4 linked regions of the Caenorhabditis elegans genome follow. The protein of the gene in region 2 purifies or fractionates together with the protein of the main gene of each other region. This does not show direct contact. Each region holds a gene or a part of one and is shown on either strand. Other genes may lie near its edges.

What was found.
Region 1: the proteins of F17H10.1 (region 2) and Y49G5A.1 fractionate together in Caenorhabditis elegans (co-fractionation; one large-scale study listed by BioGRID). This does not show direct contact.
Region 3: the proteins of F17H10.1 (region 2) and gpa-10 fractionate together in Caenorhabditis elegans (co-fractionation; one large-scale study listed by BioGRID). This does not show direct contact.
Region 4: the proteins of F17H10.1 (region 2) and kle-2 fractionate together in Caenorhabditis elegans (co-fractionation; one large-scale study listed by BioGRID). This does not show direct contact.

Annotation. Positions count from the first base shown.
Region 1 is NC_003283.11:5,285,793-5,289,120, reverse strand, and holds Y49G5A.1 (BPTI/Kunitz inhibitor domain-containing protein), read left to right. Parts: upstream 1-1,747; 5' UTR 1,748-1,760; coding exon 1,761-1,892; intron 1,893-2,208; coding exon 2,209-2,320; intron 2,321-2,366; coding exon 2,367-2,428; intron 2,429-2,471; coding exon 2,472-2,714; 3' UTR 2,715-2,778; downstream 2,779-3,328.
Region 2 is NC_003284.9:13,103,231-13,109,061, forward strand, and holds F17H10.1 (GPI inositol-deacylase), read left to right. Parts: upstream 1-2,010; 5' UTR 2,011-2,059; coding exon 2,060-2,094; intron 2,095-2,149; coding exon 2,150-2,289; intron 2,290-2,335; coding exon 2,336-2,469; intron 2,470-2,511; coding exon 2,512-2,670; intron 2,671-2,900; coding exon 2,901-3,137; intron 3,138-3,221; coding exon 3,222-3,314; intron 3,315-3,571; coding exon 3,572-3,769; intron 3,770-3,922; coding exon 3,923-4,183; intron 4,184-4,239; coding exon 4,240-4,321; intron 4,322-4,911; coding exon 4,912-5,093; 3' UTR 5,094-5,313; downstream 5,314-5,831.
Region 3 is NC_003283.11:6,851,994-6,856,620, forward strand, and holds gpa-10 (Guanine nucleotide-binding protein alpha-10 subunit), read right to left. Parts: upstream 2,819-4,627; 5' UTR 2,811-2,818; coding exon 2,749-2,810; intron 2,703-2,748; coding exon 2,595-2,702; intron 2,412-2,594; coding exon 2,273-2,411; intron 2,220-2,272; coding exon 2,059-2,219; intron 1,655-2,058; coding exon 1,486-1,654; intron 1,436-1,485; coding exon 1,346-1,435; intron 1,297-1,345; coding exon 1,143-1,296; intron 1,101-1,142; coding exon 1,019-1,100; intron 837-1,018; coding exon 731-836; 3' UTR 528-730; downstream 1-527.
Region 4 is NC_003281.10:7,939,692-7,946,094, reverse strand, and holds kle-2 (Condensin-2 complex subunit kle-2), read right to left. Parts: upstream 4,379-6,403; 5' UTR 4,373-4,378; coding exon 4,271-4,372; intron 4,197-4,270; coding exon 3,447-4,196; intron 3,398-3,446; coding exon 2,872-3,397; intron 2,539-2,871; coding exon 2,158-2,538; intron 2,108-2,157; coding exon 1,853-2,107; intron 1,759-1,852; coding exon 1,574-1,758; intron 1,055-1,573; coding exon 788-1,054; 3' UTR 502-787; downstream 1-501. Other genes in the region: gsto-1 (Glutathione transferase omega-1), read left to right, coding at 64-190, 241-500; C29E4.12 (Protein FMC1 homolog), read right to left, coding at 4,561-4,669, 4,724-4,941; C29E4.10 (Putative galactocerebrosidase), read right to left, coding at 5,239-5,325, 5,369-5,616, 5,665-5,762, 6,042-6,403. UniProt on the Caenorhabditis elegans protein: Regulatory subunit of the condensin II complex, a complex that seems to play a role in prophase chromosome condensation and in chromosome segregation in mitosis and in meiosis.

The sequences.
Region 1 (3,328 bases), on a different chromosome or scaffold from region 2:
ATTTTCGTTCAGTATGTCATGAATTCTTCACTAAATAAGCCATCTTCACTAAATAAGCCATGGTATCAAGGAAGTGTAGATGATAAGTGGAAAAAAAAAGAACCGGACGATGAGAAACAAGAAGCAAAAAAACGAGAAAATGAGAAGAGTGTATGTGTGTCTTTTGAAAATGAGCACTCTTTTGGAGCACAGGCAGAGCAAAGTGGATTCTGCGCTGGGAAAACACCGACTAGGCAAAGGCAGATAATCAAATTGACCCCATAGGCTAATAGTAGCTGCTTTTCGCAATAGAGACTTGACTATAATGATTCGTTTTTTTTTGTTTTCTATTTTATTTTTTGGGTTTTGGTTTTCTATTCTGACGTTCTAAATCAAAACCTTACTTTTCAGTTTTTTTTTGAAAACATACAATTACCAAAACTTGAACCCAACAACTCAGAAAGAGTTGCCATAGCACATATTCAATCAACGGCGAACAAAGTAACAAGTAACAAAATTTTGTTATTTTTTGCGGAGAATTTCAGAGAAAAGCAACTGCAACGAAAAAAGTAGACGTCGAAGTGACATGAAAAGCAAATAAGGAATCGGAAATTTGTGAGTTTAGCTGGGGGATTACAGAGGATATATTAAAAAAATTTTAGGAACAAACTTCGCATGAACGGAATAAACAAGCACGTGGACCGGAGAATTTAGGTTACTCGAGGTCTATTCTCAAATAAGGCTTTTGAGTTGGGTTAAGAAATTAGAAAATTATGTCCAAGAGATTTCCCAACTTTTTGGAAAAAGTGAATAGGTGGCAGAAAGAAAAATTGCGTTAGAGTAGTTTTTCATATATAATCTTGACTTTCAGATGTTTTGTAAAACATGTGAACAACTATAGGAGTTTTCAAGAAACTTTTCTTTCTGAAAAAAATATGATCACTTTTAAAGGCTTCCACATTTGGAGCAGGGATGTGCGGCAAATCTCAAAATTTGCCGCGCTCGGCAAACTCGGCAAATTTGCCGTTTTCAACAGACTCCGGAAAAATGTTATATTTTAGATGTATTTTGGAGCACCAAAGATATCACACATCTGATTTCTGAATAAGTTTCGTGAGCTGTGTCAGCTTAAACATCAAATTAACTCCATTTTGTGGAATTTTACTAAATTTTAGGGGACAAATTCAATAGTTTTGGGCAAAATTGTTTTGTCAAATTTTTGGTGTGCTGCAAATTTCGAAATTTGTCGAGCTCGAGCATCGTTGATTTGAAGCAATTTGCACTGGAAAAATAATCAGATAGAATTTTATCCTGATCACAATACTTGTCAATTTTTTGTAGTAGCCTATTTTAAAATTTCTTTTTTTCAAATGGCATTTATGATCTCCGTATTGGTAATCTCTGTGACCAGGAAGTGATTCAAAGAATCATTCACGGTGATACCAAGAGCGTTTATAAAATTTGCTGAACAGTTTTTTAGATGGTTTGGCCACACAACCATATTAATAATTGTTTTATTGGACTTTTAGGTAGAATTTCAGATTGGAAGATTTCTGGGTGTTTTGTCAGCTAGCATTCGACAATTGAAAGAGATTTACGGATTTTTCTAAACGAATCTATACTAGAACTTCAACCAAACATTATCCAGTTTGACCTTCTTCTTATCTAAACCAGGAAGTGTTGAGTATAGTCATTCGATTTCTTTATCTCTCAACGTGTTTATCCATTTCTCCAGTAGTATAAAACGGTGATCATTTCAATTATTCTGTCAATTTTGCAAAATGAATCTTCTTCTTACCTTTTTGGCTACTATTCTGTGTGTCAGTGAGTTAGTCTCGACACTTCAACCGGAGTGCAAACTTCCATTGGACATGGGAAAAACACCATGTAAAAATGGAAAGAAGGAGATAAGAGTGAGTTTTGATTTTTCAAAGCTTTCATGTCGCTTTTTTTTGGAAACTTTGGAATTTTTGGAAATTGGAAAAAAATATAGAAAAACATTGGTACTTTCTGAAAATAGCTATACGTTTAATTGAAAATTCCGAGAATTTGCTCAAAAACTGACTCAAAAGTCAACGTGCCGAAATAACACTGAGACTGTAAGTCTTTTCAAAATTTCAACTTTTCAAAACTTTCAACAAAAGCAAAATTATTTTCAGAAACTAAACATATTTCTCAATATTTTTATTTCATAAAATTCATAAAGTATAAAGTCTTAATAATTTACAGTACCACTTTGACCAAAAATCCAATATCCCATTGGCTTTTGAGTACAGTGGATGTGGAGGAAACAAGAATAATTTCAAAACTGAGAGTGAATGTCGATTTACATGTACTGGATGTATGTTTTTTCATTTGAATTTTTTACTTTAAACCAAAGTATTTAGATGATCAATCGGGATGTGCCGCTGGAAGTAAGCCAATAAACGATAAAAACTGCCAAACCGATGTAAGTTGCTCCATGTTTTTGAAAAAATCTGTAAAAATTCCAGGAAGAATGTGGGCCAAAAGGTATCTGTAGGTACTCTAATCATATTAATATTTGCTGTGACAAGAAGATTGAAAAGTTGATTGAAGCTGATTATGAGCCAAAATGTCCAAAAGGAAAGAAAGTTGCAAAAATTGTCGAGGGTGGAATCCCTACAACGATTGTTGGGAAGAGTTGCAAATCAAAGTTCTGTCCAGCTGGAGCAACCTGTGTGGAGGGAACATATTTTGCCACTTGCTGCAATTAATTATTTTCGGCCGTGCATGTTTATCTATATAAACTTTTTTATTAATGAATTAATATAACTAATATAACCTTTTCCAAACAATTCGTCTGAAATCTTTAGATTTTCGGACTCCAGCAAATATACAAAGCTATCGATTTGTATATGATATCCCACTGTTTTAAATGAAAAATTTAATGTAGAAGCATATTATAAAAAACCAGCCGTTTGCACGTGCTCCGACTGGCGTACGGTAAATTGTTTTAATAAATTTTAAACTGCTAATGTAAGATTTTTGTACAGTCAACACTTTTCCTGGAGTTTTGCGGAATTTCAAGAAAATTCTAAAACTTTTCCAGAGTTTCTAGAAAATTCTAGAACCATCCTGCTTTTTATGTAAAAAGTCCTAGAAGGGACAAATTTTAAGCGCTTTCAGAATTTAATTACAAAAATTTCCAGGTGCCAGAAGCTTTCAGTTTGATCAAAAAAACTAAATTTCATGCAATATGACCGCATTTTTTTATTGGGAGATTTACTACGTTTGCATTACTTTAAAAATTAAGACTCTGGCCGTTCACCAAAATTAGTGACTCTGGCCGTTCACCAAAATTAGTGACTCTGGCCGTTCACTAAATATA
Region 2 (5,831 bases):
GTATACTCGAATCTGAGAACAACTAATACATAGTAAAGAAAAGCTTAAAAGGCATATTACCCTAACACCATTCTTGGTTACCGCTTCTTTGAATTGAACGTCACCGACAAAAATTGCCAAAATATAGGACGACATTTTCAATGTTGACTCAAATTCTGTGGTGGAAAAGTCATCGTTAGTTTTTGTATTATCTATTTCCTTAGCATTTGACAAAGCAGTTGAACCGGTTGGATGGACCACAGTGACATGCCAAATCGCCTTGAACTCCGGCTCATCGAAACACGGAACCATGAAACGAGCCGCTGTTGGTTCAAACTGTGTCACAGCGTTGTACCTGAACTTTTATTTTGAAGGACTGTGAATATACTGTCTTACATCGTAGTTTCATTTAATCCTGGCGATATTGTTCTATAATACCCTTCACCATCCTCACGAATTTTTCCAATTTTTCCATATAATGAATACTTAGAATTGGTCTGCTGTCTGTTTTCAAATTTCCTGTTAAATAAAAAGTCACAAATTGCAAGTCGTATGTTGTGTTCAAATGGCTAATAGTGACGTTATCGCCAGCCTAAAATATTGAATCAGATTTTTCAAATTTGCACATACACATGCATTGTGCAAAAGAACATTATTAATATTCAAAGAATCTGTATGCAGAACAATTGTGTCAGTTTCTTCTTTAACTTCAATTTGAATTTTCACATCTCCTATAAAAGTGAAACTTTTTTCGTCGGCTTCCCACTTGTATCCTGGCAAAAAAGTTGTAATATGCAAGCGGTACTCAGTTGGGAAAACATTTCTAGGCAAACGATAATTGGTGTCGTCAGTCTCTTGAGTTCTACAAGTGCAACAAATTTTGGCAGAACTTCTACACGTGTCAATACAACCACACTGAATATTTTGTACTTACACAACTTGTAAATCAGTGGTTTTAAAAAAAGTCAGTAAAATGAATAAGAAGGAAAACCTCATCGGTATCGTATGCCAATCCAAAATGCAAGGTGGAATGAAAACTTTGAAATTAGAACCAACTTAAATAGAAAAATATACTGTGATCAATGAAACCCTTATATTTTGCTCAGTGAATCTAAACAATATCGAAGAAAAAATCTATTCAAGTTAAAAATTGTGTTTTCTATTCAGAAAAGCTAAATTAACACGATAGTTTTGAATGTACAAAAACTCCAGGTTTGATTAAAAAGTATATTCCATTCTGAAATTTTTAGAAATGCATACAAAAGAGAAGCGACAGTTGGGAAACTGTTAAAACCCACTTCTATTGTGCTAAAAAGAACACATGAAATAGTCGAACTTTTCAATCACTTTTTGAACTGTTTTTATTGACTGTTAAAGAGTGGGGATTACAATTTCAATTAACATTTAAAAGTACACATTTGTCTCAATTGAGGACTTTCAAAAAAAAATGGCAAAAACTCAATAATTGCCACTTTTGGACTGTCAATAAATAAATTTTCAAAATTTGTAAAAAGTTTCACTATGATATTTGGTCATTTTGGCATCATAAGAATGGTTTTTAATTCTTTCCCCACTGGTCCTACTCTATGTTTAAGTTGATATATTTTTAGTCGATTGGTGGCCAAAATTCAAGTAATTGTTTTTTTTTTGCAATTTTTAAGCAAAAATGATAAATCTTTTTTCTTAACTTCACAATTTCCATAGGTCAATTGAGTGAATAATCAATCTAAAAAACATTTTCTGATCATCAATTTTAATTATTTATTTTTTTTCTTCAATTTTTTTTTCTGAAAAAATGATTGTTTTATCACGTTCTATGCCGGAAAACACCCAAACAACACATCAACTCGTGATGGCCGCGTTCACATGGCCTAGAAATCTCTAGACAACGACCGCACGCGCACTCCCTCCACGAGGTGGCGTGACATGGGGTTGCACTCTATACTCCCGCTTATCTTTTGTTTTCTCCCGCATTCAGTTTCACTCTGTCCGCGTTTCTTTGACCGCATCCGTTGATACCAAAACTTGCAGGAATTAATCTTCAAAGTCAGCGCCAGATTCAATTTCAAATGACTTCCAAATGGCCCGCTACATCATTCCTTCTGTGACCATATCGTACGTTTTTTTGGCATTTTTGAAGGAAGTCTAAAACATTTCTTGCTTTTTTCAGAGCAATATATGGAGTGTATAAATCATATTGGCCAGATCAAAATGACAAAAAGATAATTCTTTCTGTAGATGACGCTGTCAAACTACTAAATGTCAATACAAACACATCGGAGGCTCTGCGGTTCATTCAACACACAGAGAGTAAGGACCATCTGCCCATTGCCCTAATTATCGATTTTCATTGCAGGCAAGGAATTCCTCAAGTCGTTAAATCCAGCGGCAGTAGCTTTATTGGCAAGATCTGGCTCAGAGCTTTGTATGAAAATTCCAATAAAGTCTTGCCTAGATCAAAAGTTGGATGTCACAGAAGCATTAAGAAAAGTAACTTTTGTGTTATATCTAAAAATACAATTTACAATTTAGTTTAACCTCGGCGACAAATGGAATAGCAGCATAGAATGGATAAATCGAGTTGCCTGTCCGGAAGAAGATTTGTCTTGCTCCGATGAGTGGCTCGTGCGGCTTCCAAGTCAAATTGAGAGGCTACGGAGAATGTTACAGTTGCTGTATTTAACTACAGAGGTTTGTCTTAAACTATTCTTGATGTTGTTTTCGAGAAAAACCTGCTCGAAAACCTGCTAGAAACACTTTCTGCAGTCAAAAAAATTAGCAAAAAAATAAACGTTCTCCTGGCCAATCGCTGGAAAAGTTTGGGGAATAATTTGCAAAATTAAACAAATCATTAACAAAATTAAACATTTAGGTTTTTGTGCGACAAAAAAGAAATTTATAAATATAGCCAAACTTTTCAGAAAACATTTGATGTCTCTGCAATCGACGTCGACGTTGTCCCGTTCCTTTTCAATGTCTACGCAGAGTTCTACCATTCAAACGTGGATATCGCCGTGCTCGCCATCAAAATTCTAGCCAACATTGTTGGAGAGGATGAAAAGTACGCAAAATCAATGCTCGACTCCGAATGGCTACCACTGATAAGTACGATGGTCACCAATGGAAAAAGTTTGATGGAACGACTGTTATCGCATAAAGTGAGTGTTTTTTGATTGATAATGGGGTTTTTTGTGAGAACTAAAATGACAAAGAAATCACGTTCAAGACGAAATGTTTTTTAGGTATGTCAAAATGCGCTGAGCTCATTGAGATCCATCAATTATCGGCTATCATCAGATGTTTACGAGATGTATTTACCGGATGAAGAACCCGAGGTAACTTTTGCTTCCGTTCCAAATATCTGTCAGAAGAATTTTCATCTATCAAAAACTGAGGTTTTACACTACCTGCTGCCTGCAGACAAGTGTCACGTGAGGATACAAAGTGCTAGAGGTGTTTGCGGAGCAGAAGTTGAACTTAGCTTTGTTATGTTTGATCAGCGTGTAGGCAACTCACTTTTTTGTGCACATGAAAAATTTAATTATGAACAACTTTAACAACTGGCATGAACGATTAAAATTTCAAATTTCAGATAGATATAGTTCTAATTCACGGACTGCGTGGCAGTGTGGCCTACACCTGGAGGCAGAAAGATTCCGATGAAAACCTCCTCTCGTCTTGTTGGCCCAAAGATTGGCTTCCGTTGGATATCAAAAAGCCTTTCCGGATAATTGGACTAGAATATCCTTCATACATCTTCCATTTTACCGGAACGCAACAGAGCTTACAGGTAAGAAGCAGAATCATTTAAAAAATGTCTTGGTTATTTTTAAAAATAAAAAAAAAGTATTCAAAAACTTTGTGGGATTTCTTATGCAATAAAACATTCCCATCTTACTCTTGTAATTTTGTTCCGTATTGGAAGCCAATTTTTAAATTCTAGACCCGATCCGAAAGGTTCAAGGAGCAACTGGAAATAGCTGGAATAGGAAAACGGCCTGTCCTTTTTATTTGCCACTCTATGGGAGGTCTTCTCGCCAAAAAGCTGCTTATCGACTCAACCAATCTTCTTAAAAACACTGTTGGAGTGTTGTTCATTGCGACACCACACAAGGGAAGTCCTGTCGCAAACTGGGGATATTCAGTGTTTCAACCAACTGAAGACGTACGGATGCTCAATGAGAATAATGCGATTAATAGAAAAGTGAGCTTTTAAATATTCATTATTTTCTGAAATTAAGTCGTAAAATTCATTTTCAGCTGAACGAAGATTTTTCGGCAGTGAGCAAGGAGATTCCGGTTATTGTTAGTATGGTGGAGACCGTGGAGTCGAATATTATTGGTGAGTTTTTTGAAAACGATTTAAAAGAGTGTTTCAAATGCTCAGTAATAATTTTGATTTTTGAGAGTCTGTTGCATACGTTAATCAATTTTAAATTTCAAAACCCCTCGCAAATTATAAAGTGAAGAACTTTAAAATAATTGTTCCTGGTTAGTTAGCAGCTTCTGTTTCTAAAAACAGAACACATTCCAGATTTTATTAAAACGGCAGTGTCAAAAACAGTTATGAAAAATCGTATAGGTATACTGAAAATCCATTTAGGCCTTTCTGAATTTTTTATCATGACAAAACTTTCGCTACAAAAGCATTTTGTTCAGGAGGAGATAAACAATTTTGAGCGCAACATTTGCCTAGGATTCCCTGCGAGGAGTTTCATTTGCAACAATTTTTGCTCTAGTTCCTTCATTTTTTCTGTTACATTTAAGAAATTAAAAAATAACTTTTGAGAAATGAATGACAAAACAAAACTAAAATCTTAAACAAAACTTTGTTTTTGTTGCCAAAGACCACTTGCCAAAAAATAAATATTTACGCTGATAAAACAAATTTTCCAAAAACTGATCATTTTCCAATTGCATAATGAATTCCAGCCAACGCCAAGAGCATCGTCGTTCCCAACAAATCGGCAGTATTTGAGCAAGGAGCCGTGTATCATATTGCGGATGTCCATCTGAATCTGTGCAAGCCCACCCGGGACAGCGCTTCTTATGGAGTCATTATCAATTTTTTGCAGGACTGCCTGCGCGAAAGTGACAAGCGGAAAAAACTTTAGCTTTTGTATAGTTTTTGTACATATTTTGTAGATTTTTTTGTGTTGTGAGAGTTACTACTTTGTATCCCTGTTCCGTCATCGAAAATTCCTTTGAACGAGCCATCAATTTTGAGAAAATTTTACGGTTTCCCGATATCATGTTTTAGGAAATTTTTTTTTACTTTTCTTTCCTTGTTTCTGACTTTTTCTGACCTTTTTCTGCATAAATATTTGGTTTTTCAATGTTTTTTTCACCAACAAACAATAAGGGGATTGTACCTGACTGAGAACAAACTTTATTGAACCATAACTATAGAATCATTCACACGAAAAAAAGTAATGGATGGAGAGATGTATTTCAATATTTTCCTATTCTCGAATTCAATACCACATTTTCATTTTTCTGTGGATAGATAGAACCGTCCCTTCAGCGGACAATAAAATAAAAAATTCCATTCTTGTGATGTGACAGCCGAAAAAAAAAAGAAACAGAGACATAAAACGGTTTAGATATGCGCGCGTAGAGGAGGCTTGGCAGTTGAAAAACACGTTTCAAACCTAAAGCTGAACATAGTCCAATAATGATTTGTAAAATAATGCCACCCCGCAAAAACCCACGCCATCGGTATGTATGTAGTAGAGCATGTGTACAAAAATATACCCCCACGCTCTTGTCTCGTCTACCCCTTTTTATGTTTTAACGAGAAGGTGAAAGAAATTGGAGATAGAAGAAACAAAATCAGAAACAGGGCGAAACGC
Region 3 (4,627 bases), on a different chromosome or scaffold from region 2:
TAAATGATGACCGTTTAACAGCATTCATGACACATGGAGGTCTTGGTAGCACAACTGAACTTGCGTATCTTGGTAAACCAGCATTAATGGTACCAGTATTTGCCGATCAAAACAGAAATTCTTTGATGTTGGCAAGACATGGAGGAGTTCTTGTAGTCGAAACGATCTTTGGAAAAGGGAACTTGTGAAAAATTCCATTTATTCAATTTTGAACGACGATCATTTTAAGAAGAACTCTAAAAAACTGGCAGAAATGTTGAGAAACCAACCAACAAATCCCAAGGAGACCGTAGTCAAATACACTGAATTTGTTGCAAAATTTGGTCCGTTCCCGGAAATGGATCCATATGGGAGGACACTTGGATTCATTCAAAGAAATCTTTTAGATGTATACCTTGTTATTATCTTTCCGTATATTTTTGGAATTCTGTCCATTTATCTTGTCGCATGTTTTTGTTTGAGAAGATGTGAAAAGTCAGGTAAAAACGATTGAACATTTTTCTTCTAAAAGAGATTCGAATAAATATGTATGTTCCTTTAATCTTATTTGGTTCTCACTTTACACTGAAAATTAGTACAAATTTTCATCAGAGTTTCAGTCACGATAAATTTCAATCAATAAAAAATGACACCACTCAAATAGAATAGGGAATAATTATTACTAATCACACACGTTGTTTGAGGCAGATACTAAATTGAAGAACAATAATTTGTGCAGAGCGATTGGAGTTCATATCATTCCCGTATCTTTGAGATTATCTTGAATAACTGTATCTATCACTGTATTGATGATTATTTGAACTTGATCCGATATTGCACATGTTTCATGGGTGTACCTGTAAAATTACGTTTTTGAAATTTACATTTTATTTTCTAGTACTGTTAGTGTTCCATACTGGCACAAAAAAGTCAAAAATATCCAAGAAGTCGAATACGTTCAGAATTCTTTTAGTTTGTAAGTTCATAGTTAGATTTTCAAAAGTGCAGTAGACACAAAACTGTAGTCTCAAAAACTCACATTCTTTTTTTGAAGTCCGGGTGAATCCCTTCTCTAAATTGTCTCCGAAAGAACTTTGTACCTTCTGAAACTGTGTTTGCTCCTGAAACATGAAACTATGAATTCAAAAACTTGGAAAACAAACCTTCAAATTTTGGAAAGTAATCCTTAATCTTCACATGTTTTACTTTCTCCTCGAACAAATCAATTTTGTTCAGGAAAAGTATGACTGCCGCTTTTTTGAAAAACTTTCCATTAAAAACTGTCCAGAACAATCTGATGGATTCATGCATACGGTTCTAAAATTTAATTTTTCGTTTCAATTTTGTGGCTGTTTGGAAAAATTACCGTCTCTTCATCCTCCGCTAACTTCTGATCAAACTCGCTAATAGCCGCTACAAAAAGAACAGCGTCAGCCTCATCGAAAAAGTGATACCACTGAAATTAAATTCTCAATTAGGAAACAAAGAAATAGTTAAATTTCCAACTTTTCGTCTTTCAGATCGTTGTCCACCACAATCGCAAATCATCAATTTGATATTGTTCATAATAACTTCGACTTGTGCAACTCCCGTTGTAGGTACCCGTATGTGAACAATATCCTGATTTGTCGGTTCAAAGCCTGGCAATTTTATACGGTCGATGTTGTCGAAGAAACTGAAAATGAATTATTAAGTTCAAATAACACAATTTTGAGATAATTTAATGTAGTTATTCAATTGATTTTTTATTGCAAAATTTGCCTGCTAGAACAAGAACATAAACAAGTTAACATCATAGACTTCAGCGATCACTATCACAATTTTTTTTTTCTAGACCTGTTAATTACATGTTCCGTTAGACCAAATGACAGATACACGAACAATGTCTGTAGTTTGGTTTTATTTGTGAACGAACAAACATATACATAACTCGAAACATTTAAATAATAACTGTGTGACATAAAAGAATATTTTAAGAAACATTTCAGACATTTTTGAAACGTGTTTTTGAATCAATTGAAACATTTTTCTATAATTCTAACTATGAATGCGCTACAAGTTTCCAAAAAAAAAACTCACTACTTGGCACTATCTGTCAAATGAAATGTGTCTCTCTTGGAATACGCGTCCTGTATTGCACTGTTTCCCCAGAATTCCTTCAGTGTATCGGCGAGTTCAGGTCTCATTATTCCATCATGAATTACCGCCATTTTCAGTTCTTCGCACATCACAGTATATCGCTAAAAGTTTTTAATTTGAAACCTAATAAAACCCGAGAGGTCGCAAAACTCACTTTATCATCGTCTTCCGTCATCTCCAAAATATATTCTCTGACGTATTCTAACAACATCTCAGAAAATTGACATAAATTCTGTATAATTAGCACTTTTCGTTCGTGTAGTTCTGTCTTTGTGTAGTTTCCAGTCATGGCTCTGAAAATAGAATGTTTGGCTACCCATATAACAGGAAATATAATAGTTATTAATTAATTTTCAAACTGTAAACAGAAAGAAACAGACACAACTCCCAAGGTATAATCAGAAACCTATTTATTTTCCCGTTGTTAATTCAAAATATTAGGTCATGTACAAGAATTATTAAAAAATCAAATATACCTCATCTGTTTCATGACAGTACTTTTTCCACTTTCACCAGGCCCCAGTAGAAGAACGGTTTGCTCCAATTGCATGTTTTTCTTCTTTTCGAGCTGTTTTTCTATTTCTCTGAAATATTAACGACAATTATGAAACATGTAACTCAAAAACTGACTTGTTAACTTTGATCTGATCCTTCATCTCGTCAGTGAGTACAAATGACTGACAGACCCCCATGTTTCCCTGAACATATATTGAAATTTTTGAAAGAACAAAAATAATTCAAAGATTATGACGATTATGATAGAGAACGCAAACTTTAATTATAGGATGCCAGCGAGATTCAACTTAGACAACGAGACAAATGAAATGACTAATCAGAAAAAAAAAAACAAAACATGTTGTCATGCCAAAAAAAAAGTTTCAGAAAGCTTGTCGAGACAAACTGAACAGACTTTTCGGCAACGAAAATGTAGATTTCACACCGGAAATAAAGTCAATTTCCACTGTATTGCTCAGAGAGAATGTACAAGTTTCGTCAAAAAAAGTTACTATTTTCATGAGAATTTTCAAATCCATCAATGCAAGAGAACATTCCTTCAAAAAAAATTATTTGAAACCCGTATTTCAAAGCCGCGCGACAAACTGAATATGTACCAAAAAAAAAAAATAAATAGATACGTAACTCGGGATGAAACCAAACTCGTTGACTAATTTTCAAAAGTCATCAACACTAGAAACGACAATATAATTTCGAAAGAACTTGTTAGACTTAAAGAGAGATAGGTAAATCCTAAATTTCAAGACCTTGTGTGACGCCATAATTTTCCATGAAAAAGCAACATGGTAGCACGTGAAGAACATAGTTACTTTAGATTTGTAGATTTGTACTTTAGATTGGGATGTTTTTTTCTTTAACACAAATTGTTTTTTGTCTCAATGTTAAAGATGAACCAGTTTTTCAAGAACGTTCAAAATGACATTTGGAAACTTTCTCTAAAACCACAGATTTTGGTTCACCGAAAAACATCTGAACACTTTTTCACTACCCGTCAAAGTCAAGAAATATTTAAATGAAATGGCGATAAATTACATTTTTGTTTGAAACCAGTTGTAATCGTTATGTTCGCAAAATTTTTCCGAAAAGCGCATGAGCTCAACACAAATTTAAAATCACATAGGCTTAAAAGTCGTGACAACACAAAAATGTAAAAAAAAAGTTGTGGAGAACACGAGAGAAGAAAAGGGAAAAAAGCAAAGTTATGATTAAATGAAATGAGAAGGAAGGTAGTGATGATTAGCGGCGGTCCTCTCCCCCCGGTTTCCTTGACTACCGCAGATTCCCAATTAAGCCTCTCTGTAACAAAGAAACTAAAAGGTGAATAACAAAACAAAAACACGAGAACAACTTCTGACTTGCATGTTGAATGAAATACACTCAAAAATCGCGAGACTACTTGAGCGTGGGAATGATCAAAAAGAAGGAAAAAAGATAATGTGATTGTTGGTTGTGTATTTGGGTTAGAGGGAGATATATTTATATTATCAATCAAAAAAAAACAGAATACCCGATGCTCTATAGGGAAACATTTATGTTGCTATGGTTTTATGATAGCTGGTCAGAAAAATAGATAGATTAGAAAAGCGTTTTGAAAAAGAGAGAACTACGCCAATTGAGTAAAGTTTTTTAAACGACACGCAAACGGAAATCGTTAGCTTTGTTGTGAGTTAAACCGGAAACAAGTTTATCTGGTCTTGATATCAATAATAACACTGGGACCAAATCTCAAACTTCACTAGCTAAAATAATAAAAAGTAAATGAGTTAAATGTCTTTGTGAGTCTGAAAACGAATAAAAGCGGAAAGATTATTGCAAAAAAATTATGTTCGAACTTTCTGATATTGAATTATTCTTGCCGAATCATGCACCACAAGATGCCAAGATTAAAATAAAATCAAGCCAAATTCGGAGTTCGTTCATTTTGTATGAAATATTGGAAAGACCGGAATTAAACATTGATAAGAATGATTTTTGAAGTTACATTTACGAACCT
Region 4 (6,403 bases), on a different chromosome or scaffold from region 2:
ATTCAAATATGATCTTGAATTTTTCTATTTTCTAAACTATTTTGTTTTAAATAAGCAATTCAGGTAGCCCATGCAGTTCCATTGCTCTTCGCCGTCATGCGAGACCGAACTTTGAAAGATGAAAAGCAGCGAAAAGTTTTTGAAGTTTTGAAACAAGCTGAAAATCTCTTGGCCAATGATTTTTATGCTGGTGAGTTCAATTAATCGATACAATTTTTTGACCAAATTCAAACTATTCAGGATCTCAACCAGGTTATCCAGACTACTTATCATTTCCATTTTTTGAGAAAATTTGGTGGTCAGCTAGTTTGGATGGAGTTGTCGATTTACCAACAATTGAATTCCCAGGAGAAGAAGAATATCCTAAATTGACAAAATGGTTCCAGAAAATGATTTCTTCAGATGTTGTTCAATCCGTCACCCAATCTTTGGAACATGGCGCTGCATTCATGAACGCATATGCCACGCACCAGGAATTGAATTATGATTTGGGCCTTTGATATTAAAACCAGTCGATTTATTTTTAAGATTGAATAAAAAATGAAGGACGTAATTAAAAAACAATCAAAGAAATAGTGGTAATTCGTCGGAAAAAAAGTTATTGTACAGTCAGTAAAGTACCATAACGAACAGAAGAAAAATACTTGGCATCTAGAAGTTAATTAATTGATACAGTAAAATGAAAGTATAGCCAGAAATCGAGATACAAGTAGAGACAATGAGGAATGTTTAAATAAATTAAGATGGTTTTCGGGAGATTTAATGCAAAAAAAACAATAATTATAAATTAGGCATCAAGAGCGCCAGCCTCCTTGAACATTTCACAATGCATATCTCTTTTGAGTAGTGTGATTTTCATCGAGTTGATTCTTTCCTCGAGTGGCAGTTCCATGTCCTCGCTGACCATGACATTTCCGACATTACACATAAAGAGGCACGAAAGGAAGTATCGACTGATTTCGTACCATGGACGATCCATAACCAAATCTAGTAAACGTTTCGTGCCACCTTCAATATCGTATTGGCCAATGACAGCACGACCAACTGCGTGAACCTGAAAATTATTATAATTGAGAAATTCAAACATTTAGACATTTTGACTTTTCAAATTACTGTGGTTGACCAGAATATTAAAGGTGGAGTAGCGCCAGTGGGGAAATTGTTAAAAACCACTCCTTTGGTTCCAAAATGACCAAATATCATGATAAAACTTTTGAAAATTTTTTTATTTACTGTCAAAAACTGGCAATTACTCAGTTTTTGCCACTCATATGTTTGGAAGTCGACCAAAAAAATTTATTACATTTTTTATTGTTTTAATTTTGTTTAAATTAATTGTATTAAAACATTGTAGGGGTCGAAACATACGACATTTCTTTAAATAACCTCAAAAGCTCATATTTTTCAAAATTTTGGCAATTTGCCAAAACTTTGACCGGAAATTATGAAAAATCTAAAACTTTTTGGAGTGTTTTATTATGATATTCGGTTGTTTTGAATCACTATAAGTGTATTTAGACAAAATCCCCACTGGCACTACTCCACCTTTAAGATTAAATACTCTAAAACATACATCATACTCTTTTCGAGTTTCTCCTTCTTCGAGGATTGGTTCCATTCGAGAATGCCATTTGTCAACATGTTCTTGTAGAGTTGACACGGCAACATCCACATCTTCATATGCTTTAGCCATCTCGTAAGCCATTTGTTCGCGATCTGTTCGATTTTCAGCAAACTTCTTGAGCAATGGTAAAGCTTCTGTAAATAGAAAATTTACTTGATAGACTTGAGAGAGTACAATTTCAAAGTATTAATTTTAAAATTTTATTATAAAATTTTGCAAATAACTTACTGTCGATGAGCAAATTTCCAGGTAAATTGATAACACTGTTCAGTTCGGCATCATCAATATCCTCGAATCTTAATGGAACATATTCAGCAGGCGGAATATCAAAATCTGTTTGAAGAGCATCGAATTCTAGGTTGTTTGGAGCCATAGGAGGCCGTTCACCACGTGGCCGCACGTCTTCTTCGTCGTCATCGAACCCACCTCCAAACATTGAGAGCTCGACTTCGGCAGCAAGATCTTCATCGACTACGTCGTCATCTGGAAAAAATATAATTCAGTTTAAATTTCATAAAATTGAAATTTCTTACATTCAGCTCCGAGGGTTCTTCTATTAGACGTTGGAATATCCTCTGTTACCGGTTCAAATTGCTCCACGGGTATCACACGAGCTGTCCGTTTTCTCTGCATATTCTGGATACGAGCTTCTCGGATTTTTGCAGTCTTTTCCTTGATTCTTCGTTTCTTCTCGGCTAGAATAGCAGTACGAAGTGATTCTATCTTCCAGTCCTTAATCGGATTTATACGAGCCGCACTTCTCCAATAGTAGTAATCCTGCAGATAGTCGTGAGTTTCCATGAACTCGTCTCGTCGAGACTTATTGATCTTTTCCTCACGTCGTTGCTTCCTAGCCAACATTTCAGCGGGTTTTGGTTGGAATTTCGTGATCTTTTTTACCGGCTTGCTAACGACTGAAATATATCATTTACTATATATAAAGCGCTTATTCCGTTTGTCCATAGCTTGTAGTCTATGTAGTCTTTGTAGTCTGCGAAGTTTTAGCTTCTGGAGGGATAGTGAGTTGGGGTTAGTGTAGGGATATAGTCGGGGTACTGTAGTGGTACAATGGTGGTACGGTAGGAGTACTGTATGATTACGGTAGGAGTACTGTATGATTACGGTAGTTTCAGAAAAATTGGTTTTCAGCTCCAGAAGTCGGGGGCCGCGCCGGAGGTGCGGTCCACGGCTCATATATATATATAATCTAAAAAATACCGAAAGAATCCCATTAATTCAACAAATACCTGGCAGATTCTCGTCTCCCGTGTACCAAATAATATGATTTTTATCCAGCTCGTCCCATGGTGCCGGTGCTCGCTTCTCATCCCTTCTGGACAAATTTCGAATATAATCATCGTCGTCATCGTCTCCTCCACCACCAAAATCATCATCAAAGTCCATGGGCGCGTAATTCTCATCAGGTCTTCTACTAGTGTTTGGTTCATCGTTTTGCATAACAGATCCAAAGTTATCAACGAACATATCAACTAAGCCAGTGGTAAGATGAGTGCTCGGGCGATTCTTATTAACTCTTCCCTCCACAAATGACAAGAAATCATTCAAATGATTACTCTGTCGATGTCGTTCAACAAATGGTTGTGAGAGACGAGTTGGTTGAGATCCAAAGCCTTGAGAATCTCGAAGAGTTTTAGCTGCAATTGTGATGGCTCTCGATGTGGCACGAGATTGAATTTCTTGATTTTGACGAACTGCTTCTTGCTCTATGAACCAACGAGGAGGTGGAACAACTTCACGGCCAGAGAGAGGATCCTGAAGAAATCAAGTTTTGAAAATGTTTCATCGAATTATTACCACTTACCTTAAACGGTCCATATGCACTGATCTTCTCATGCTCTTGCTCCAAATCTAACTCAACTTCCAAATCAGCAACACCAAAATTAGCTGCCAATTCCTTATTATCTGGCATCCAACGAGCACCAGGTAGTGTGAATTGGTCTAAATTTCCACGATAACAATCATGGGAGTAGAGTATTTGTTGATCGTGTTTAACTTTCGACTTTTTAATTTCAAAATCTTTTACTTTTCCGATAACATCAGGACGAGATTTTGCATTCAAAATTTGTTCATCAGTACGATTGAGCTGGCCGTAATTGAGCTTGAACATGAACTGGGTTGGCTTTGCTACTAAACAGCTTTTTCGCTCATATTGAGACTCTATAACTTCAGCATTCTCGACCATTCTCACTGCATCAATCGATTTTTTCTCTTCTTTTACTGTCTTCTCAAAATTTGCTAGAGCTTCCTGTTTCAGTGAGTCGATATCAGCCAAGTCGTAATTCGTCGATCCCAAATTAAAATTTTTCCGTCTTCCAGCTCCTCGTCTACTGCCGGTGTTTCCATCATCTTGACCTTTGTTCTCGACTAAATCCACAACTGAAATCGTCAGTTCATAGACATGATCTACTTTTCGACCATATACGGCACACGATCCTTGAATAATCCGGCATGCTCGTTGAAAATCGAACAATCTGTAAGTTGTCGCTGCATCCACCTGATTATCTGTGTCTTCACTTTCTTGTCTGATAACCTCGAGGTATCCGGCGAGTGCCTGAAAGTCGAGCAATTATTTATTTTATTTACCGAAAAAGAAAAGATACAACCGTGAAAAAAAATTATCCTTACTTTCAACACGTCGATTGAGAAGTTCTCGACAAGATCTTTTGCGGGTGTGACGAGCCATGCTAAATCTGTCGATTCTTGACCTGGAGGAGCATTCCTAGTCATTTGTACCTGAAACAACAATTCCAATGCTCTGGCGATGATTAACTATAAAAAAGATATAGAATGGTACGAAAACCATAAGGAAGTTATAAAAAACCTGAATAGTATTTTAAAAACGAAGTATTTTATTTTGATTGAAAAGAAAACAGGAATCTAATCTATTCGAGAAAGAAATAACAATTTTAAGTATTTTAAAGTTTCTTTTGTTCTGGAAGTTTCAATCCAACAATAGCAGCAGCCTCTTCAACACTCTTCTCGCCACCCTTATATCTCTCTTGAAGTTCATTAAGCTGTCGGGTTCTAAAATGAATGGATATTGATTATTACTTTCTTATTCTCATAAAACAAACGAACCCTTTAATATAGCTCAAATAGAGTTTTGCAACGCTCTCTGACTCGTTCTCGGCTTTTGAATATCTTCTTGTTGTAACCTGGTCGGCTTTCATTTGCTCCATGAGGTATTTATATTGTGCCGAATTCGGGGAGAATGTTTTGTCGACCTTTTTCAGTTCCGAAATGATGTTTTTGATGGTGTTGAAAGCGGTCACTCCTTTTCCAACAGCAGAGGCCATACTTTAATTTTGAAAATGTACAAAAAAGGGATAATAAATAGCACAATAACACAATTCAGACAAAAAAAGAAAACAGGAAAACGTTCTCAATTCAAACTGCGCGCGTGAGGCGCGCGTTGTTTAGCGAAACGCGGAGCATCGTTGCGGTACCATTTGCGCGGAAGTTTGAATCTAGTTTTTTGTGGCAATTGATTTTGACATTTTCCAATAATGTGGTAAATTATAAAATGGTACATTTATTTTAATAGAAACATGCCCAAGCAATATTAAATACTTTTTGAATGTAATTAATCAGCCTCAGTGAAAATAATCTGTTGAAATATTATCCCATTCGGAGATGCCAAAATTTCCAGTGCCAATCACGAATAAAGTGTCATTATTTGTCTGAAAACATTATATTTGAAATTCAATTGATTATTTTAATAACCTTATTTAATTGTTCTTCTGGAATTTCCACTGAAGTCATCACATGATGATTTCCGAATTTTATGAAGAGATGCGAGTCCAGTAAATGAATTGAGAATTTATAAAACTTTCCAAATTCTACTTTTCTTCGTGCTTTGAATTCAGCAATTATTGAACGGTCAACGAAATCGGAAAATATAGTTACTTTTTTATTTGAAAATTCAATCTCAACAAATATTCCACGACAGTTTATTACTTCTATGTCACATCCTGAAAATGTAATAGATTTTAATATGAATCACAACACTAATTACATACCACTACAATTACTCCTTATACCTAGAATGATGGATTTAGCTGTTGAGTGTTTTGGAATATTGACCTCGGCGTTTAGAATACTATTCTTCTTTCGATACCTAAATGGAAGGAATACCGTATACCGTATTTCCTCTATTAGTTTTGCACCCCTTTGCTCAACTTTGACACCTCATATCTCCTTTTTGGACATATAAATAATTAACAAACTACAAACTACAGAAAAAACATCTATCTAAATTTTTATCAGTTGACAACTTTTCTATAGAACAAACTACTACTGAGATATGAGCTGCCAAAGTTGAGAAAAGAGGTGTAAAAATATTAGAGGGAATACGGTATACTGTAGTTCCTCATAGGTCAAAGTCATCAATTCTTACGCCATAACTGCATATGGAGTTCGAATGTGTGAGGTGCACCAACTAATTGATGGGCGTGTCACTTTCTGTACCGCCCGTCCATTTCGTACCACCCATGATCCTTTTTGTGGCATCCAAAACTTTGGCTCCTCGTCGAATTCATAATTTTCAAAGTCGTCGTGATAATTCAAAGGAACCAATGGTGTTTTTATAGTAACTCTTTTCGGAGTTGAAACTGGAAGTGTAGTGAGTATTCCAAATGAATTAACAGGAAGAAGAATGGTAATTGTAGAATTGACAGATTTTGAAAAGAACTTTGAAGGTCCAAAGTTTAATGACATATTTAATCCTTGAAATGATGGAATTTCAGAGAATTTAAATCG